Daphnia pulex: one gene and its partners. The main gene of each other region encodes a partner of the protein of the gene in region 3 in a complex. Links are inferred from orthologs where the notes say so. Each region holds a gene or a part of one and is shown on either strand. Other genes may lie near its edges.

Evidence for each region. The genes of interacting proteins can lie anywhere in the genome.
Region 1: the proteins of protein unc-80 homolog (region 3) and protein unc-79 homolog are in contact, whole or in part, in a cryo-EM structure (PDB 7W7G), measured with the Mus musculus proteins. The link is inferred for Daphnia pulex from reciprocal best matches to the Homo sapiens genes UNC80 and UNC79. Residues at the interface, in NP_780719.2 of Mus musculus: Gln23, Thr24, Trp27, Ser31, Leu34, Arg35, Pro36, Ala80, Pro83, His84, His87, Ser94, Asn95, Asn180, Ala183, Leu187, Phe190, Leu191, Arg337, Leu340, Gln341, Pro342, His343, Arg1317, Asp1320, Glu1321, Asp1324, His1545, Val1546, Asp1547; in XP_030102533.1 of Mus musculus: Thr120, Tyr123, Ser127, Ala130, Thr131, Leu168, Ser169, Ser172, Met175, Ile176, Gln179, Tyr180, Tyr207, Tyr211, Gly212, Pro213, Ser214, Val390, Cys391, Glu394, Glu402, Phe405, Arg472, Cys541, Asp917, Phe920, Ser965, Glu966, Phe967, Ser968.
Region 2: the proteins of protein unc-80 homolog (region 3) and sodium leak channel non-selective protein-like are in contact, whole or in part, in a cryo-EM structure (PDB 7SX3), measured with the Homo sapiens proteins. The link is inferred for Daphnia pulex from reciprocal best matches to the Homo sapiens genes UNC80 and NALCN. Residues at the interface, in NP_115893.1 of Homo sapiens: Lys1979, Asn2004, Glu2005, Cys2006, Asp2007, Leu2128, Arg2129, Leu2130, Pro2131, Pro2134, Arg2135, Ile2138, Asp2139, Phe2142, Phe2145, Ser2146, Glu2179, Asp2184, Glu2185, Met2187, Leu2188, Asn2191, Asn2194, Ile2198, Leu2199, Glu2202, Ser2226, Leu2227, Ser2228, Gln2231; in NP_001337678.1 of Homo sapiens: Asn639, Met643, Val644, Ile646, Lys648, Leu649, Pro650, Phe653, Val655, Pro656, Lys657, Ile658, Arg659, Glu660, Phe662, Met663, Lys664, Gln665, Phe666, Ile667, Arg669, Val711, Ser713, Arg715, Ala716, Arg717, Leu719, Lys722, Glu723, Ala725.

The regions. Positions count from the first base shown.
Region 1 is NC_060021.1:6,772,757-6,778,381, reverse strand, and holds part of protein unc-79 homolog, read left to right. Parts: coding exon 1-72; intron 73-134; coding exon 135-367; intron 368-440; coding exon 441-1,028; intron 1,029-1,088; coding exon 1,089-2,811; intron 2,812-2,869; coding exon 2,870-2,993; intron 2,994-3,059; coding exon 3,060-3,309; intron 3,310-3,380; coding exon 3,381-3,487; intron 3,488-3,551; coding exon 3,552-3,719; intron 3,720-3,781; coding exon 3,782-4,311; intron 4,312-4,379; coding exon 4,380-5,007; intron 5,008-5,074; coding exon 5,075-5,191; intron 5,192-5,253; coding exon 5,254-5,625. UniProt on the Homo sapiens protein: Auxiliary subunit of the NALCN sodium channel complex, a voltage-gated ion channel responsible for the resting Na(+) permeability that controls neuronal excitability.
Region 2 is NC_060028.1:1,974,195-1,979,301, reverse strand, and holds the end of sodium leak channel non-selective protein-like, read right to left. Parts: coding exon 4,977-5,107; intron 4,904-4,976; coding exon 4,783-4,903; intron 4,722-4,782; coding exon 4,588-4,721; intron 4,513-4,587; coding exon 4,347-4,512; intron 4,276-4,346; coding exon 4,081-4,275; intron 4,009-4,080; coding exon 3,873-4,008; intron 3,790-3,872; coding exon 3,708-3,789; intron 3,640-3,707; coding exon 3,416-3,639; intron 3,352-3,415; coding exon 3,156-3,351; intron 3,079-3,155; coding exon 3,001-3,078; intron 2,926-3,000; coding exon 2,541-2,925; intron 2,479-2,540; coding exon 2,283-2,478; intron 2,212-2,282; coding exon 2,136-2,211; intron 2,069-2,135; coding exon 1,855-2,068; 3' UTR 1,404-1,854; downstream 1-1,403. Other genes in the region: CAAX prenyl protease 2-like, read left to right, coding at 1-91, 152-254, 323-467, 533-700, 763-831, 905-1,158. UniProt on the Homo sapiens protein: Voltage-gated ion channel responsible for the resting Na(+) permeability that controls neuronal excitability. NALCN channel functions as a multi-protein complex, which consists at least of NALCN, NALF1, UNC79 and UNC80.
Region 3 is NC_060024.1:13,414,877-13,421,028, forward strand, and holds the start of protein unc-80 homolog, read right to left. Parts: upstream 4,064-6,152; 5' UTR 3,804-4,063; intron 3,746-3,803; 5' UTR 3,641-3,745; intron 3,573-3,640; 5' UTR 3,169-3,572; exon of another isoform or gene 3,017-3,168; intron 2,317-3,016; 5' UTR 2,275-2,316; coding exon 2,171-2,274; intron 1,993-2,170; coding exon 1,944-1,992; intron 670-1,943; coding exon 643-669; intron 1-642. Other genes in the region: protein fem-1 homolog C-like, read left to right, coding at 4,419-6,152. UniProt on the Homo sapiens protein: Auxiliary subunit of the NALCN sodium channel complex, a voltage-gated ion channel responsible for the resting Na(+) permeability that controls neuronal excitability.

The sequences.
Region 1 (5,625 bases), on a different chromosome or scaffold from region 3:
GCCCCGGTGGCTGGAATCGATGGTCACCACTGTGCCATCCGATGAGTGGATAGAATTCCGAATTATTTTAAGGTGATTGACCCTATTTTGAAATTGGTTTGTCTTTAAACATTCATCATTTCTTATTCTCAAAGCAAATTACTGGACTCGAGTATGAGCCCTTTGGGATTCGATGCCCAACAAATGTTTCGTTTCCTGGCTGTCCGCTTCCGTGGAACTCATCTGCGTGTTCAACAACAAACACTCAACTGGCTCCAGCTTCTCTCCTCGTTGCACATTGTTGTCCCCATCGATCTCCTGGTCAACATTTTCCAGGAGGGAGTCAACACGAGTAAACTGGATACCGACAACGAAATTCCAAATTTCGGTTCGTTTCGCATTTCATTACATTATTAGGTGCATCACAAAACCCTAATTATCCCTTATTATCATTCGAATAGATATGGAGGAAATTCGACCGTTATCTCCGGTATCGAATCAAAGTGTTTCGTCATCCGAGTTGCCTCTGAGTCTTCCGGAGAAGAGCCTGGCCTGTCACGTCCTAATGTTAGACATTTTACTGGAGCAACTGGAAGTCCAAGAGGAGCCTAGTAATGGAGGATTGACGGGAGCACCACTAGCTCAGCATTGCCTCACGCTTTTAAAAGATATGATTCACGTCCGGCAATGCATGCTGCATAATTGCACGTCGGCTGATTGCTACATGTGTAGTCTGTTGACATCGTGGTATCAGCTGGCGCAGGAGTTGATTGCTTTCTACTCGCCACTGCACGCGGCCGTCGTTAGTGAGTGTTTCGAAGAGCTCGAAAATTGCGTGGAGATGGCCGCTGCCCAGTCAGTCCAGCAACAACAGCAACCCAGCCCTGGTGAACAGCAGACAAACAAACCGGAAGAGGCTATATCAACCGTTTATTATCAAGAACAACAACAACAAGTATTACAACTGGGTGAAGTCAGAACGGCCAAGATGGAGACCGTGTCCGAGTTAGATCTGGCACCGATCCTACCATCAGAAAGAGTCCTCAGAGGTATTTAAACTTAAAACATTTTGATTTTTTAAGATATAGTAACTTGATTTTCTTGTTTAGCTGTGGCCAATGCTGTGACTTGCACTGAAATGGAAGTGGCCGGCTGCAAAGCCCAAGTAGCTCAGCCGAGCATGTTGACGGACGTGGATCCTTCAGACCACATGGATCATCCAGACCATCAACAGCCGAATCAACAATATTGGGTGACGACGGCCGGCAAATTTCGATTTGCGCTGGATGAATTGCCGAATCACCTCCAACTCATTTACGGATTCCTGAAAGAGCTCTACCACTTGATCCGACCGGACACTCAGCGACATCTACTCCGCTGCGTCGAAATCCTTTGTCTACACTGCGAGGTGCTCAGTAAATCCGCCTGTCGCGAGCATCCAGGCTTCCTGTTTTGGGTTCAAGAAAACCTCACCGTGGCCCAGCTCTGGAATCTCCTCGAGAGTCAAACATCGCACGTCGCCCAGACGTGTGCCTCTCTCTTGCTGCACTGTCTCACTCTTCCGGGTGGATCGGATGTCTTCTGGAAAATTATGGAATCGGATTTCCACTCGCGCGATTGGAAGACTCGCTTTTCATCCGTGGAGCGGATGATGTTGGTGTGCCAATTTCTGGACGATCCCACCGTCAAACAGAGTTCCATTTTACAGTCGATCCTGACCAACGCCTTTTGTTTCCTCATTTCATCAATGGACGATATCAACACGGCTGTAGCCAACCGGGCAACCATACTCCTCGAGAGCTTGCACGATGGATCGCTTAAACTGCTCGTTTGGTGTATGGAACAGCAGTTTGACAGTTTCATCAGCGACAGACCTCTGTTGTTGCACTCTATTATGGCCCTGCATCATCACCCTTGGCTGACCAAACGCAAGATCATTTCGTGGAAATTCTTTTTCAATCGTTTCGACGCTCTGTATTTGGAAGCCCAGTTGAGCCTACAGCGGGCCGGGGAATTGATTGAACCGCGAGATCTCAAGTCCAGTCACATGTCAAACGAAAGCTTCAACAAGAAATTGCAGAAAGCTCGTGAGGCCATCAAGCGCTACGCTCCTAGCAGGTCTAGTTCGCCGACTCAACAGCAACCGAGGAGCTTGATGCGGTCGTTGAGCCTGTCAACTCATCGCTTCAATCGCCGAAAGTCTACACCCAATCATCACCCACAGCACGGAGTGACCAAGAGTTACAGCCGACAAAGTTCTTCAGCCCAGTTGAAGTTGATGCGATCCAGGGGCGCTCTCGGTGGCGACAGGATGAACAATCAACAAGCGTCTCAAGAAGAAGCCTACGTTGCTCTCTTCATGCAACGTTGCTCGGAACTGGACGACTACGATGGTGAAACCCACTCTTTACTGTTGACTACGCTGATGCAATTCCTGGCGCAGCCAGATCTCGCCCAGTTGAGCGACGATAAGTTCCAATCGCAAATTCAGAACCTGGTCCTTCGACATTTGAGTCTTTTGCTGGGCTACGGACCCACCGAAAGAGCTTTCTGTTTGACACCACAGAAACTCAGAGCATCGGCTCCTTTCAACGCCTTTCTCTCGGCTCTTCCGCAAGTTCTGGATCGTAATTTAGCTATCGGAGCCAATCTTCTGCCCATGACGTTATCTTTGATGATTTTCTGCCCCGCCCCGCCGTCAAAGAACAACGGTCCTGGAGGTAATTCGTGGTTACAATGTCATGGGCAAGCTGGTGTGCCCATCACAACTCACGGATCCATGAGTAGCGTTGGTTTCGCTTCCGGCTCAGCTGCTGCAGCAGCTTCGAATAAGTAAGTTCACCATCCTTTGATCAATTTTGAAATTATTTAATTTCCTTCAATTACTTAGCGTCAACGATCGACACAACGGCACGACTCCACAAAGAGCCTACAAACCGACCTATTCCCTATGGTATTTGGAAACTCATCCTCGACGGATGTGGCTACAAACAGTGTTAGTAATCCTCTACAAGGTTTGTTTATTTACTATGAAAAAGATTGGGCCAACTTTATTAAATATTTCTTCTGCATTGTTGCAGTATCGTTATAACCAACCGAATTTAGCTCCGTTAGTACAGAGCATCATCCGGATCGTTCTTAACACTCTGGAATCTCAATACCATCGCTGTTATCGCTACGGTGGTATTGGGGCCACTTTAAGTCACGGCCATCCATCGACAGCGCAGCATCAACTCCATGGGGTCTCTTCAACTGCAACTATGAGGATGAGAGACCAGAGTCAAGGCTCTTTGGAAGTAGAGACTCCCATTGATCCAACAGATCTAAAAGGTTTTTATTTAAGGATTCAGCGATTTGCTGAACGATTTTTAAATGTTTATGCTTAAAATTGATTTATTTAGGAAGAGCAAATGTCATTGGACACGGTGTAGGAGCTGTTCTTGGCATAGCTGGATTGGTCTGGGGCTCCTCTACAATTCAACATCAAATTCAGCTACAAGTTGCAACGGTAAATCTTATCTCTAATACGTTGATGACGAATTATTTGCTGATTTCTTTTTCCGCTATTACAGAAATCTAACGTCACATTGACGTCCCGACGTGAGTTGACTGGAAGTATCTCTAGTGAATGTGACATCGACGCTGACGTTGATGGCATAGAACTTGAAGTTATACCTGAGAGTCCCAAGAGTAGTCGGCCGGATCCTGATTGGGATCGAGATTCACTTGCTGAAGTCGAGGTAAATATTTTCTACGCCGAGTTTCATCCTTTATGTAATCATTGGGTCTTTTCTATCAATAGGTTCTCTCAGAAATGTCACAGCAAGAACCGAATTCCGCCACTGCAGCGTCAGAAGTATCGCTGGCGGCCTGTGTCCGACAACCATCGGGTGTCTATGAAGCCCATACAATTGTGTCGCACCGTCAGGTCAATGCAGCGGACGCCGCTGCCGCCGCCGCAGCAGCCACAGCGACACCTACGGGAGTCAGAACTCGACAGAGAAAAATGGGCATCTCTATGGGAACCATGGGTCCCGAAATTCCGTTTCTATCCACCGAACAATCAAACCGTCAGCAACAACAGCCTCAGATTGAAACCCCAGCACCTCATCCAGCCCCTGTCAATCACGCAGTACATACGCCCATGAAACAGAGCTGTCTTCGCGTCGGTGACGAAGTGGCGTGTCACCGTTGTTCCAAATGCAACGCACCATTTGAAGAATTCAGCGAAGAAGAACTCGGATTATGTATCGTCATTATATCGACGTTCGTTCATCGCGAGCCTGCTTTGGCTGCTACTATGCTACCAGAAATTCTCCGCTGTAACGCAAAGTACCTCAATTTTTATTTGCTATGAAATTAACATGATGTGAAGCTAAGTTTTAAATTTAAACTTATAGGTGGGCGGGAAGTACGACATATACCTGGCAAATGGGTAGCAATTTGTACGTACCCGGTGAAGTTGGTGCGATTGCTCGCCAATTTCTCCGGTGCCTGTTGCATCAGCTCACACCAAACAAGGTCTTCATCCAATTATTCCAGACTCAAGTGCCTGAAGAGATGAAGCAGTCTTTCTTCAAGACGATGGCATCGGCGTTGACGGATTTCGTTGAACTGACTCCGGCGGCACCGCTCCAGTTGTTGCTCGAGTCACTGAATGAGCAAAAACAGTTGTCGCCAGCCCAGATCGCCATGATGTTGCCCAATGTGGCCTGCTATATCGAGTGTCTTCCGCCGCTCGAATTGAGTGCCCAGATTTGGACCCCTCTATTCGCTCAGCTGGAAATCTTCTGTACGCGACTCATTCTAGTCTTACCGCTGCTGAATGGCAATCCAATTCACAGCAATTCGCTTTTGAGAATTATGGGCAGCACAAACCGTGTGGCAGCACTTCAACTCGCCCCATCTCGTGGCAGCATACTTGATTCTTTCGCCAAGATCCTGCTCTACATCATTCAACATTGGGCTGGCTTTGATTACAAGCATCTCGTGGAACTCTGTCACCTGGCTTTCCGGTCCTTCAACAAGGTAACTTACGATTCCCAATTTTTACGAAATCTTGAAAATGATTGAGTGGATAACTTTACTATTGCAGGATCGGGAGAAGTACATGTTGACAAGGACGCTCGTCGATGAACTAGTGTCGGTAATGAAACTAAAATCAAGTCTTCCAGATTCTACCTTGATCATTTTGGTGCATTTCACCTTGCAAGTGAGTAAAAAAATAACTTGAAACTGTTTTATTCATAGTTATATGTTGGCTTTGCTAATTAGGACGCTGGAGGAACTTTGCCACCCCATTGCCTGTTAATGGATGAAATGGATTGCGGTGCCAACACTGTCAAGTTATCCGGATCGGATGGATCTGTAGGCGCTGGCACCACGGGTGCATTTGACTGCATCCGTCCACACTTTAGCGATATTATGGACTTTTTGGCCGACGTTCATACGCTTAGCAAATTGAAGAGCAATAGCAGGGCTATGAGTCCTGGTCCCGGTTTGGATGAAGATACTCTTGGCGGAACGGTCAAAGCCGGAATGGCCCAACTCTTGGCGTTGGAAGTCGTTCGTGGAAATGGCAAGGATAACAAATGCCTTCAGCGTTACATGCCCTGGTTATTGAACCCGCCATCCTCCATCCAGCAA
Region 2 (5,107 bases), on a different chromosome or scaffold from region 3:
AAACCTGTTTTATGACGGCAAACTTATCCTGCTTTTTCCTAGCTTCTGTCTATGTTGGGAGCCTCTATATTTGGAAATCAAATGAAGATCGGTAGTATAGTCAGTATAATTCTTAGAAAGAAACCATAAATTATTTATTGGCTTACTTTAGAAATCACCCCAAAACGGTGATTCGTAGATTCATCAGTGCATTCTGCATGCTATTTGTAGCTCCAGTGATTGTGTACATCACATTAAAATACATGAAGCCCCAAGTAAGTATTTTTCCTTTAATAACATTCAAAACGTAAATAATGAATTGTGTTTGTAATGATTTTCTTAGGAATCAATTGATCTTCTTACTTTATTGGGGTTAAGGTGGAATGGCTTATTATTAGCCATCTCAGTACCAGTGATTTTGACGAGTGTCCTCTTTTTAGGGCCAATCACCAGTTCATTCTTTGATGGGTCATGGAAAGACTTATTCAGTTGAGTTTTTTTATTTCAAATATTATAAGTAAATAGAATTAAATCAAACTTATCTTAATTATAGGTGCAGAATGCTGGAAAAATAACCTGCATGATATATTGTGGATCCGCAACCAAATTGTTGCACCGATCTCAGAGGAATTTACGTTTCGAGCGTGCATGCTTCCCCAGCTTCTCAAGTGCTATTCAAATTCACAAGCAGTCCTAGTCAGTCCGCTGTTTTTTGGAGTCGGTAAGATTCATAATTATTATGTTATTTTTCCTTTTAGAAATATACAAATATTCTACTTTTAGGGCATTTTCATCATATGGTCGAGCGTTGGCGGCAAGGAATGCCTTTAGCTCAGTCTCTACTACTATCATGTAATAAAACAAATTTATACATTTAGTAAATCAATGAAGGTGAGTTTGTCTAATGCATTTCCGTTATTCTCAGGTTTTCAGTTTGCTTACACCACCCTTTTCGGAATGTACGCCGCATTTTTATTTATTCGAACGGGTAATGTTGCCGCTCCGTGTGTTGCGCACGCATTCTGTAACGTGATGGGTTTCCCCGATTTCGGTGAGATTGGCCGACTGAACGGTTGGAAAAGGATTGTGTTGGCTTCAGCTTTTGTCGTTGGGCTATTGGGGTGGTATTTCCTACTCTGGCCTTTAACAGAACCAACTCTTTATGATAATAATCCTTGAGTATTAAAGTTTTCTCGACGCGTGCTTTTTCTGAGTCATAGAAATATACATTGCTGCTTCAGTTTCTTTTAAAACAGTTATGCATTTATTCATGCTCTTCCAGTCTTCCCGGATCCTGAAAAATTAGAATCAAATTTTTTTTCTACCCTACGCACAAAAGAAATAAAAAGATGTTGTTTTCAATATTCTAATAAAATTTAGTGAATAAACTCTTGACACTATTATAGAATAGGAAAAGGCTCAAATGTTTTAAATAGTTGTATTAATTAGAATCCAGAGGAACACTGTGTACTCCATCCAAGGGCCGCAAGATGCTCCACCCGTGTTTCCTCGTAACAGCGATATACTAGAAATCGAATGTGCGAATAACTTGTACGTATCTTCGTCATGTATGAATCAGGATATTTTTAAATCGATCCTTTTTTCATTGGAAACTCAAATAGGAAACTTTAAACGAGAATGTTTGGTTGCTAAAAGAGATTGTGGGGTGGTAACTGGCACGTTTACGTCGTACCAAGTAATTTGAGACAACATTTTTAGATCTAAACAATAAACTTTGACTTGGCACAGATGTCCGACTATATATAACTATGTGGTTTGTTATGCTTCATTATTTGTCGAATTAAATTGTTCACTAGAATTGTGCTTTTCGCAAAAGGAAGATATTTGGTTTTTGTGTGTGGGTTGACGTATTAATTAATCTTCATCGGAACCGTCGGGAGAGGCGAGTTGATCCCGCCACCAGTCCTGAACCTCAGTAACGGCCGATGCCACGCGAACGGCCAAAGCACTGGGTGGTGCCAACGGCGGAAGCGGATGGCCAGAGCCGCGGCTTGACCAGTTGGAAGAAGCACCGCCACCAATGCTCGAGTACGGGAAGACAAGGCCGTGCTGGCCACCTGTTGTTGGACTAGACAAATTCAAAAAGCCAGTCATTTAAATGTTCACGATTTAAATCAATAAAAATAACGTCTCACCAAGTTGGACTGGCACCAGGACTACACTCGCCCGCCGAGTGCGAAAAACTGGAAGAAGGAATCCCTTTTCCGGTACCTGTTGAATGAAAAAGTATCCCGATTACAGCAATCTATTCACGGGTCCTGTAAACATAAGACTTTAATTACTTTGACGTGATGGCCTCTTCTTCGGATTGGATGAAACGCCCAGCCTTTCCTTGTCGTAGGTGGATCGTTGCTGGGAGATTCCATCGGCGCCGTGGCAAGGAGCGTAAAACAAGCGTCGACCGCTGACGCTGTTGATGCTGTCAGAGCGTGTGACCAGCATACCCTTCCGACGATGTTTGCCACTTCCTTCCGCCTCCTGCAATGCCCAGTTTCAATTTAGTACCGCCAGAATTATGTATATAACGCAATTGATCACACCTTCACTTCAGAAATATCTCTTTCGGCACCTCCAGCGTTGAATTCCCGGTTTTTTTCTTCCTGGGCCTCTTGAAGTTGGTCGTTGGTAGCCCGCAAACCGGCCAATAAGCTATTGTGCTCCTTCTGTAAGATGAACAAATGAATCACTAAATTGCGTAACGTCAGGGGAAGGGAAAGACACCAAAAAAACAACAAAAAAATAGGGGGAGAACAAACGGTGTCGTGAATATTCACAGTCTTCATTCGTTTCAAGCACGAATCCAGCCACTGGCGAATGGTTTGCTTGGCCACTTCTTCTTCGATGATGTACTCAAGCTCTTCACGGGCCAAAAGCTCTTCCAGTTGCAGCGACTTGCGGATGTCCACCGAACGATACGACAGCATGCTACATTAACAATTAAAATATAGCGTTGATTAAATATACGTAACAGAAATAGGTTTCTAATTTGAATTGTTTTACTTCAGAACGTCGTGGAAGGTGACATCTTCTCCGTTGTGTAGTCGTTCTAACTCGAAGCACATGTGCTTGAAAAGGAGCCTAAAAATTAATGTTACAAGTTGAAGTGAAACATTCGTTGTCAAAATTATTTGATGGAATTATATTAAATCGCCTACCGATCCTTTTGAGGATCGACTTCGAGACGGCCTTTGAGTAGACGCAGGACAAATTTGACTTTCCGTACGGGAATAACACCGCGCTGGTTGACGTCCACAATGTTCCACGTATTTTGGAAATTGCGGATGTCGGCGTAGGAGAGAAGGGCGTCCTCTTCGTTGGAATAGAAGAGGGAAAAGTTCTCCATAATAATCGCTAACCCAGAAAAAGAATAGGTTTTAGTTATCGGAGGATGCACTTGGTATATCAAACCCCGTACCGACAAGAAGGTTGAGAACGATGTACGTGATGATAACGTAAAAGGAGCAGAAAAAGATCATGGCAGCCGTGAAATTGCCGCAATCCGTTTCCCAATAATTGGCGCCCGGTGTGCAAAACGGCGGCAACACCATGCAGTCGTGCATGATTTTGTACCAATCCTCTCCCGTCACAATACGGAACAGCATGATGATGCCCCTAGGCGTGCTGCCAAAGTTGGCTTGCCTTTACAGACATAAAAGAAGATGAAATAATTCTCATAAGAATAATAACTTTATGCCAATAATTAATACCTTCCAACACTTTCGCCGTATTTGACCGTACCGAAGAGCAGACAGCCGGTCAGGGCATAAACGAAGATGAGCAAGAACATGCCTGCATTCGACGGAAAGAAATAAACGACATCGGTATAAAATTGTGTGCTAAGAGATGTAGATTGTACGAGGTATTATAGGTACCCATAATAATGAAAAAGCTCTTGTAGACGGAGACGACCACGGTGAGCATCAGCATTTTCAACGTGGCGTGTTTGCCCGTGATGGTGAAGAAGCGCAGGATGATGGCGACGAAACCGAACGAATGGGATAAATCGTTCTAATATGAAAGGAAAAAAAAAAAGATTGAATCAGTAATACTGGGCATAGGAAAGTGAGATGACGCTATTACGCCCATAGTGTAGTTGGTTATTGCCCAGACGAGACCCATGACGGTGACCAAAGTATCGTAGCGATTGCGCCGGGACTGCCAATAGCCGTGAGGAGTGAAAGCGATCATCTTCATCGACACTTCGGCCACAAAAACGAAGCTCAAACAGGAGCTGATAGTGGCCAACAAAGAAGTGTGTGCTTGATCCTCGCGCCACTAGATGAAAAAAAGATAAATCTCAAATTACAACGTAATTTAAAAAGACAATATCGTAGGTATCTACTTACCGAGACGCAGAGGAGGCTACTATTGAGTATGACCATCAAAGCGATGAATCTTTTAAAGTAGATATGCTGAGTGATATCGTAAATAAACGCACGGAATCTGTGGCCTTCCGGGCGTGGCGGAAGATGCAAAGGCTGAGCGATTTTCAATCGTTTCTTCAAGTCACACCTATTACATTGGATCAGATTAGTTTGATAACTACGATTCCGGACACGAATGGTTGAAAAGTTGATTGCAACTTACCAACGTCGCTGATCGACCGTCAAGAGCGCAGTTCCTTTATTCTCGGAATAATTTGCAATGACGACGCCCACGAATAAAGTGAGACCGATCATGCAGCCCAGAAAGACGAAAATGTGGATATAAATAGCGTGGACCTAACAAAAAATAAATTTCAATCAACACCCGCATAATTGAAATTAAAAATTTGAAAAGTACCGGCCCCAGAGTTTTAATGAGAACGTCTCGAATGTCGAGCCAGCCTTTAAATGATAAAACTTCAAATAAGGCCAGCATTGCATTTCCGATACTGTCAAAATTAAAGCGACGTGGATTAGCCCTGCAGACATGAAATAAAGAAACATTTGTCACAATTTATTGTAATTAATACGGAGACAATATTTAAATCGTACCAAACGCGAGGAACCAAAATGGCCGGATGAGTTTCGTTCTCGCCGGGTGCCAGTTTCATTTTGGTGACAAAGACTTTGCGCAGGAAGACGCCGACACACTGGTCACGATTTTTGATCTCTGAATCATTGCA
Region 3 (6,152 bases):
AGGAAATTCTTCCGGTGCTGTGAAAAAATTCTCCTTTTTTTGTGTCGTCTGTTGCCGATATGAAAAAGACCATTTTACCGTGTCGTCCCACAACAATATGTCGACTATAAACAAGTCGACAGCGTGTGTATGTGTGTCAAACGACGATTCAAAATAAAAAAACTCAACAAAACAAAAAAGACTTGACGTGCTGCTGTTGATGCACACGCAAACGCGGATGTTATACGAACACAGGACTGTGTGTGGGGGTGGTGACGTCTACAAGCGGGGTTGGCGGTGGTGGGTTAGAGGGTTTTCTGGTGGTGGTGGTGGTGGTAAGGAGTCCTCATAAACGAGCAGCACACGGTATTTACGGGGCAATATATCTAGTGTGTAGTAGCGGCAGCTATGGTACTACTACCCAATCACGGCGGGTGTTGGGGGTTGTGTAGAAACAACGGGGACAATCAGTGACATGCACTGCTCGCTACTTGATTCTTTTCTCACGGACGGACGGGGGGTATTACAGTCAGCAGCTGATGAAATTGTGATTTTGGTTGTGTTTTATGTACAGCAGCAGCAGTCGCAATATAGATCTAGATTTACACGCTACTCTACTATATACAACTAGCCGTTTGTTGGTGGCTATTTCTCATGACTTACATGATGGCCTGGCGCCTGTTGGCAGAACTGTGTGTCACCATGGATAACCAGGTACAAAAGGATAAGGACACACATTCACGTACGGAAAACGAGAAAAGAAATAGAAAAAATGAACAAATGAAATGTCGAGAGAAAATAGTAATCAATAACCGAGCAGAGAGAATTGTAGAAAAAGAATGAAGTCGATTAAAATTGATGGATTTAAGAGAAAAAAATAAAACAAATTATGATTAAGTTTGATAGAATTGAAACCGGTGACGTCAGGCGGAGCGATTGGAGCGTGAATGGTTTTTTGCTGTGGGTATATGGCAGTAGAGAGAGAGAAACACACACACCCATTTGAAACGTCATTGGCTATAGATAAAAAGAGTAAAAGAGACTTGGCATCGCTCTTAGCTCCTTGTATATTGTGTAAAGGCTGTAGGGCCTCGACATGGCCCTTCCTCCCGGCCAGGAGTGAGTAGTAGGAGCACTGGTTGTAGTCCTAGTAGTAGTACTAGTCTAGAGTTGAGCGAGAGATGAACGGCAAACATTTCTTTTGGCTCCCGAGATGGGAATAGAGGAGATGGGTGGGTGGGTGGTGGTGCTGTGGGGGTGGGGTGGGTAACCCACCTCCCAGTCGTCGTCGACGACGACCTCTTCTTCCTTGCTCCTAGCTTCTCTTTTCTCCCGCGGACGGAAAATCAATAGCCTCTCCTTCCTGTCCTTTCCTCTCTCTCTCCCTACCCACCTCTTTTCGCCAAGGAGGAGCGGCTCCTACACACAATGCCCTCCAGATAGACACACACAGAGAGGAGAGAGGAGAGTAGGAGGGAAGGAAGAAAAAAAAGGGAGGAGAGCTCCTTGAAGAAGTCGCCTCAGCTTCTCCGATGGGATGGAAAAGAGGCGGCATTGAATGAGGAAAGGAGACGGGAGGGAAACGCACAATCAATTGCTGCCGTCGTCATCGCTTTCGATCGACTGGCCGTTAACGAACCTGGCGACCGCGCCAGCCCGGCAAAGAGAGAGAGAAAGACGAGAGAGAGAGGGGGCCAGCCCAGTCAGCCAGCCAGCGGCTGATTGACTGCCAAGTGACACCGTTTTGCCATTACACTCTGGAAAAACTTTCCAATTCAATTGGGTCGTTTGACTCCTCATAAAACACCGCTCCGTAGATAGACTAGTAGACCCTATATGCCCGTTTAGACTCTTTCCTGGCTCCTGTTTTCTTTTTTTTTAGTTTTGGCTCGGGTGTAGATGGACTATAAGTACCGGGTTCATTGTGTCATTATCAAAAAAGTTGTTGAAACAATATTACTCACAATGCAGCTGGCTTCGTGCATTTTGCCGATTTTCGGGCGAAGAAAGGAACTGTAAAAACAGACAGAGAAAAAGAGAAAATTCGGTTTAGAAAGAAAATGATGAAGAATAGTCGGCGGCTCCTATATCTAACTTCTTTCTAGCCTCTAAAAGGATTTTCAAATAGACAAGAGAAAGAGAGTACTCGTAGTATATAGTGGATATACACAGTGCTTGTGTACGTACGTACCTCGTCTGCCTCCAGAGAAAGGTCTGGATGTGTAGAGGGACGATATCCTCGGAGACCGGCTGATCAGCTCCATTCTTCTTCTTCTGTTTGGTGCCGGAATCCATGGCCTAGTTCGTCGTCGGGAAGCCAGACGAATGTCGTCGAAACTATCGAGGGGGCCCCAGAAAATTTCACCGTCACACACACACAAACACACAAAGAAAAAAAGAAGAAAAATAAAAATAAAATGAAAACGCCCCCAAAAAAACTTGGTATAAATATCGTCAAATTGTACAAGCTCGTTGACGTGACTAGATTGCACTGATAACAAATTTATCGATCGACCGTAGCTCTCTCTCTCTCTCTCACTAGGAGTGAAATTGGATTGGTACTAGGGTACCCCTGGGTGTATCCAATATAAATCGCCAGAAGAGAGTCGTCGTCGTCGTTCGTCCTACTACTTCTACTACCATATAGAGGCGATCAATGTAACACACTCGAAAAGCAAACAAGACGATGATGCAGATGCCCCCCCAGCCCAGCACCACCCCCACGTTTGAAGGAAATCAACAACACACACACACACATAGACGACGTCGTCGTCGTCGGCATATATCAATAAACAAACAAAACATTTCGCTTTGCTTGCCAGTTGTGTGAAGAGCCGACGAGAGAAACCCCTCGACACGAGAAAAAGCAAGTCAGTTCACAGACACACGACACACAGAGAGAGAGAGAGATGGGAGGGTTGACTGGGATCGTGACTGCTAATCTGCGTGAATGCAACAAATCACATGTTCGTGCTGTTGTTGATTTGTCACCCCCCCCCCTTTCGTTTCTTTATTCTTTTGAAAGTGAACTGCTCACCTGAGTTAATCCATGAGAGAGGAATGGTGTGGGGAGTGTGTGACAGAGAGGGAAAGAGAGAGAAGGTGTTTGATGCGACTTGGATGAAGCAGGATCCCTTTACGTCTCCCGAACCACAACACGGCTCGTGGAGGAGGAGGAGGAGGACTTACAGCATCACGTCCTTGCAATCTTCCGCTCATGCGCCTCTATTGCTGCCGTTCGACAGCGGATTCAAAAGGAAGCTACAGCCAAAAGCTCGGCAGTTCTTCTCTATCTCTCTCGTTCTCTTTTTCCTAGGCTGGGCCCTGCTGCTGGTTGGCTGCCTGGGCACACCGTCCTACACACAACATCTCTTTCTCTCTCCAGCCAAGGGTTTCCCGATCAATTCGAGATGGGTGAAACTCGATCCCGCCAGCCAGCACGGGTCAGCAGTTGTCCCGGAATTCGAAACAATCGAATATAGGCCGACTCTGCTGATCAAATTATTGGCTTACAGAATGCATCCAGACAATGCACACTACATCAGTTGCAATTTATGTTGACGAAATGGGCACTGCCACCGGCATGTGTCCCCCTGCAACAACAAATGAAAATAAAGCATATGGCATGTTCTGCAATCTCTCATTAATGTTTAATCAGTACCTAATTGATCCTTATTGTTCAATCCTTCATTATTCTGCTTCCACAAACAAGATTCATCGTGGGGCTAATTCACTTTGTACCAAAGTCCTCAGGAAAAGGAATTTCCTGGCCAAAAATCAATAGATTTCAACTCAAGTTGATCTAAAAAGAAAATAACCATTACCTGCCCGACCAGAGATGAAAACTTCACGTCGAGAAACGAGCACATTTCACGTTTTGGTGGAGAGGTCTGAAGGAGCTCAAAGATGGCTCTGAACTTTCGATGATCGTTTGTTCAGAAAAGAGTAGCATAAAAAGAAAGGTATCAGGAAGTGAGTAAATAAACTTTTCAATGTGTCATTCGACCATAAATCAGGAACACGAGCACAGGAAATACTTCGCCAATGTTTGACGGATCGAGTTCTTGGCGCTCAGTCCAAGTTAAGACTGAATTGCTGGCCCCCTATCGGCCGACACGCGCACCAACTCCAATCTCACGATAAAATCTGAGCAGCTCGGCCACCGCTGAGATTTGAAAACAAAAGAAAAGAAATCAATAATCCGCTCCGACGTTATTTATTCCTTTTGACAATAATGCGATAAAATCATGCGAAGACGTCTCAAAAGGAATTATTTTAATTAGACTAAGCTTCATTATGTAACTAATCGATGAATGATGGAAATTCGCCGATGCCAACGTGAGAAATGCATTTGCAGCACATAAATAGGATCACGAATGACATTAGAATTGCATAACGATATCTTTGGATATTTAACAACTTACTTGAAGCTAATAAAAATGTTGGAAGCTTTTTACGACACTGTTGGACGTGTCATTCGACCGATTTGGCGACGTATGTTGATTCGTTTCGCCACTGGGTGGAGGCGTATTTGGCGTAGAGTTTGGCCAAACTCCCAGGCAGATGATCTTCCATCATTGTCAACACCATCGCTGGAGCCGGAATCATTTCCAAACAAGAGGTTTCACTCGTCGACGCCAGCACTCGAGCTGCCTCCAACACCGGAAGAGCCAATACCAGTAGATCCGTTTGCTCAGCATCGCGCAGTCTTTTTCGAAACATTGGAAAACGGATGTTTGTCTGCCTTGCAACTCACGCTCGGCAATGTGGAACCGGAAGTCAAAGCCTGGCTGGTCGAATCGCACAATGAACGCGGAGAAACGGCTCTCGTAGTGGCCATCCGACGCAGGGACCTTGCTCTCGTCCAATACCTGATGGATGATTTGAAAGTCGACAGCTGTCGGATTGGTAACTTTACCTGGAACGGCGTTGAATACCTGGACGTCCCGCCATTGTTTATGGCCATCATTTGCGCCGATTTTTACATCTTCAAATACATGCTCGAGTACCAGCATCTCAACTTGGTCGACGAAAGAGCCGGAATCAATGAGATCCTCGCGAGTTTGCAGCCGAGCCAGGAGAAGATTAATGTCTTGGAGCTATTGGGGGCCGCTTACATTCATCACGATCTCGTACATCCCAGAAACAACAATCAAACAACCCGACGGCGTGGACTGCAGTACTGGAGAGAAGCTATGAATCTACGTCATCCTTCGAGCGTCGAGCCGCCAATACCCAAAATTCTTCCGCAAACGTCCGACATTTCTCGCAAGGCCATGGGCTTCTCTTTTGAAATAACAACTCCGCAAGAACTGGAGCAACTCGACAACGCCAACAACAACATCCAGCTCTTTACTCAAGCTATTTGGGCTATCCAGCGTATTATGGGTCAATTGATTCCGGAGCCCCATTCCTTCACTCTGTACAGACTCTACACGTACGCTTACGAGTTCTACGATGCCGGCCAGTACAGCCGGGTCGTCAACATTTTGATGCTCATGCTGGAGCCATTCCGACAACAGCCGAGTGACTGTTGGGATATCAACTTTTCGATCATCGGAGCACTGGACATCATGAACGACAGCTTCAAGAGGTTAAACAAAATGCCACCGCTCAGCCAACAGGGTCTGGAAGACTTTACTTTCGATAATCTAATGGCGGCCTTTGACTTTGCTGTCGTTGTTAATCGTCAAGAGATGCGGAGGGAATTAGCGCCAGCTGCCAAGGGCCGGCTGGACACTTGCTTGTACGATATTGTCCTGAATTTAACCGAGATGCTGCCCAAGTTGAGCCAAGAGGACGGCCACCGATTCAAGAAAGCTCTTTACCATTTCATTGGCACGAATCACAAGTTCAATTACTTCGACCAGGGCGACATTCTTCACGTGGCTTGTCGCCGGGCTCCGATTTCCCTTGATCTAATCCAGTTGCTGCTCGATCTGGGAGCGGATGCCAATTCCGTCAGTGCCAAAGGGAATACTCCGCTTCACTTGCTGGCCATGATTAACTACCAAGTCTGGTCGCCCACAATCACGGACGCCGTTCAAAAGCTGCTGGATTTTGGAGCCCATATCGACCAGCCCAACCGATCCGGAAGAAGAGCTTTGGGGATATTGAAAGCTAAACACAGGCAGCTCTGCCTTCAAGGATTACCCGATGTCAAACTTCGATCC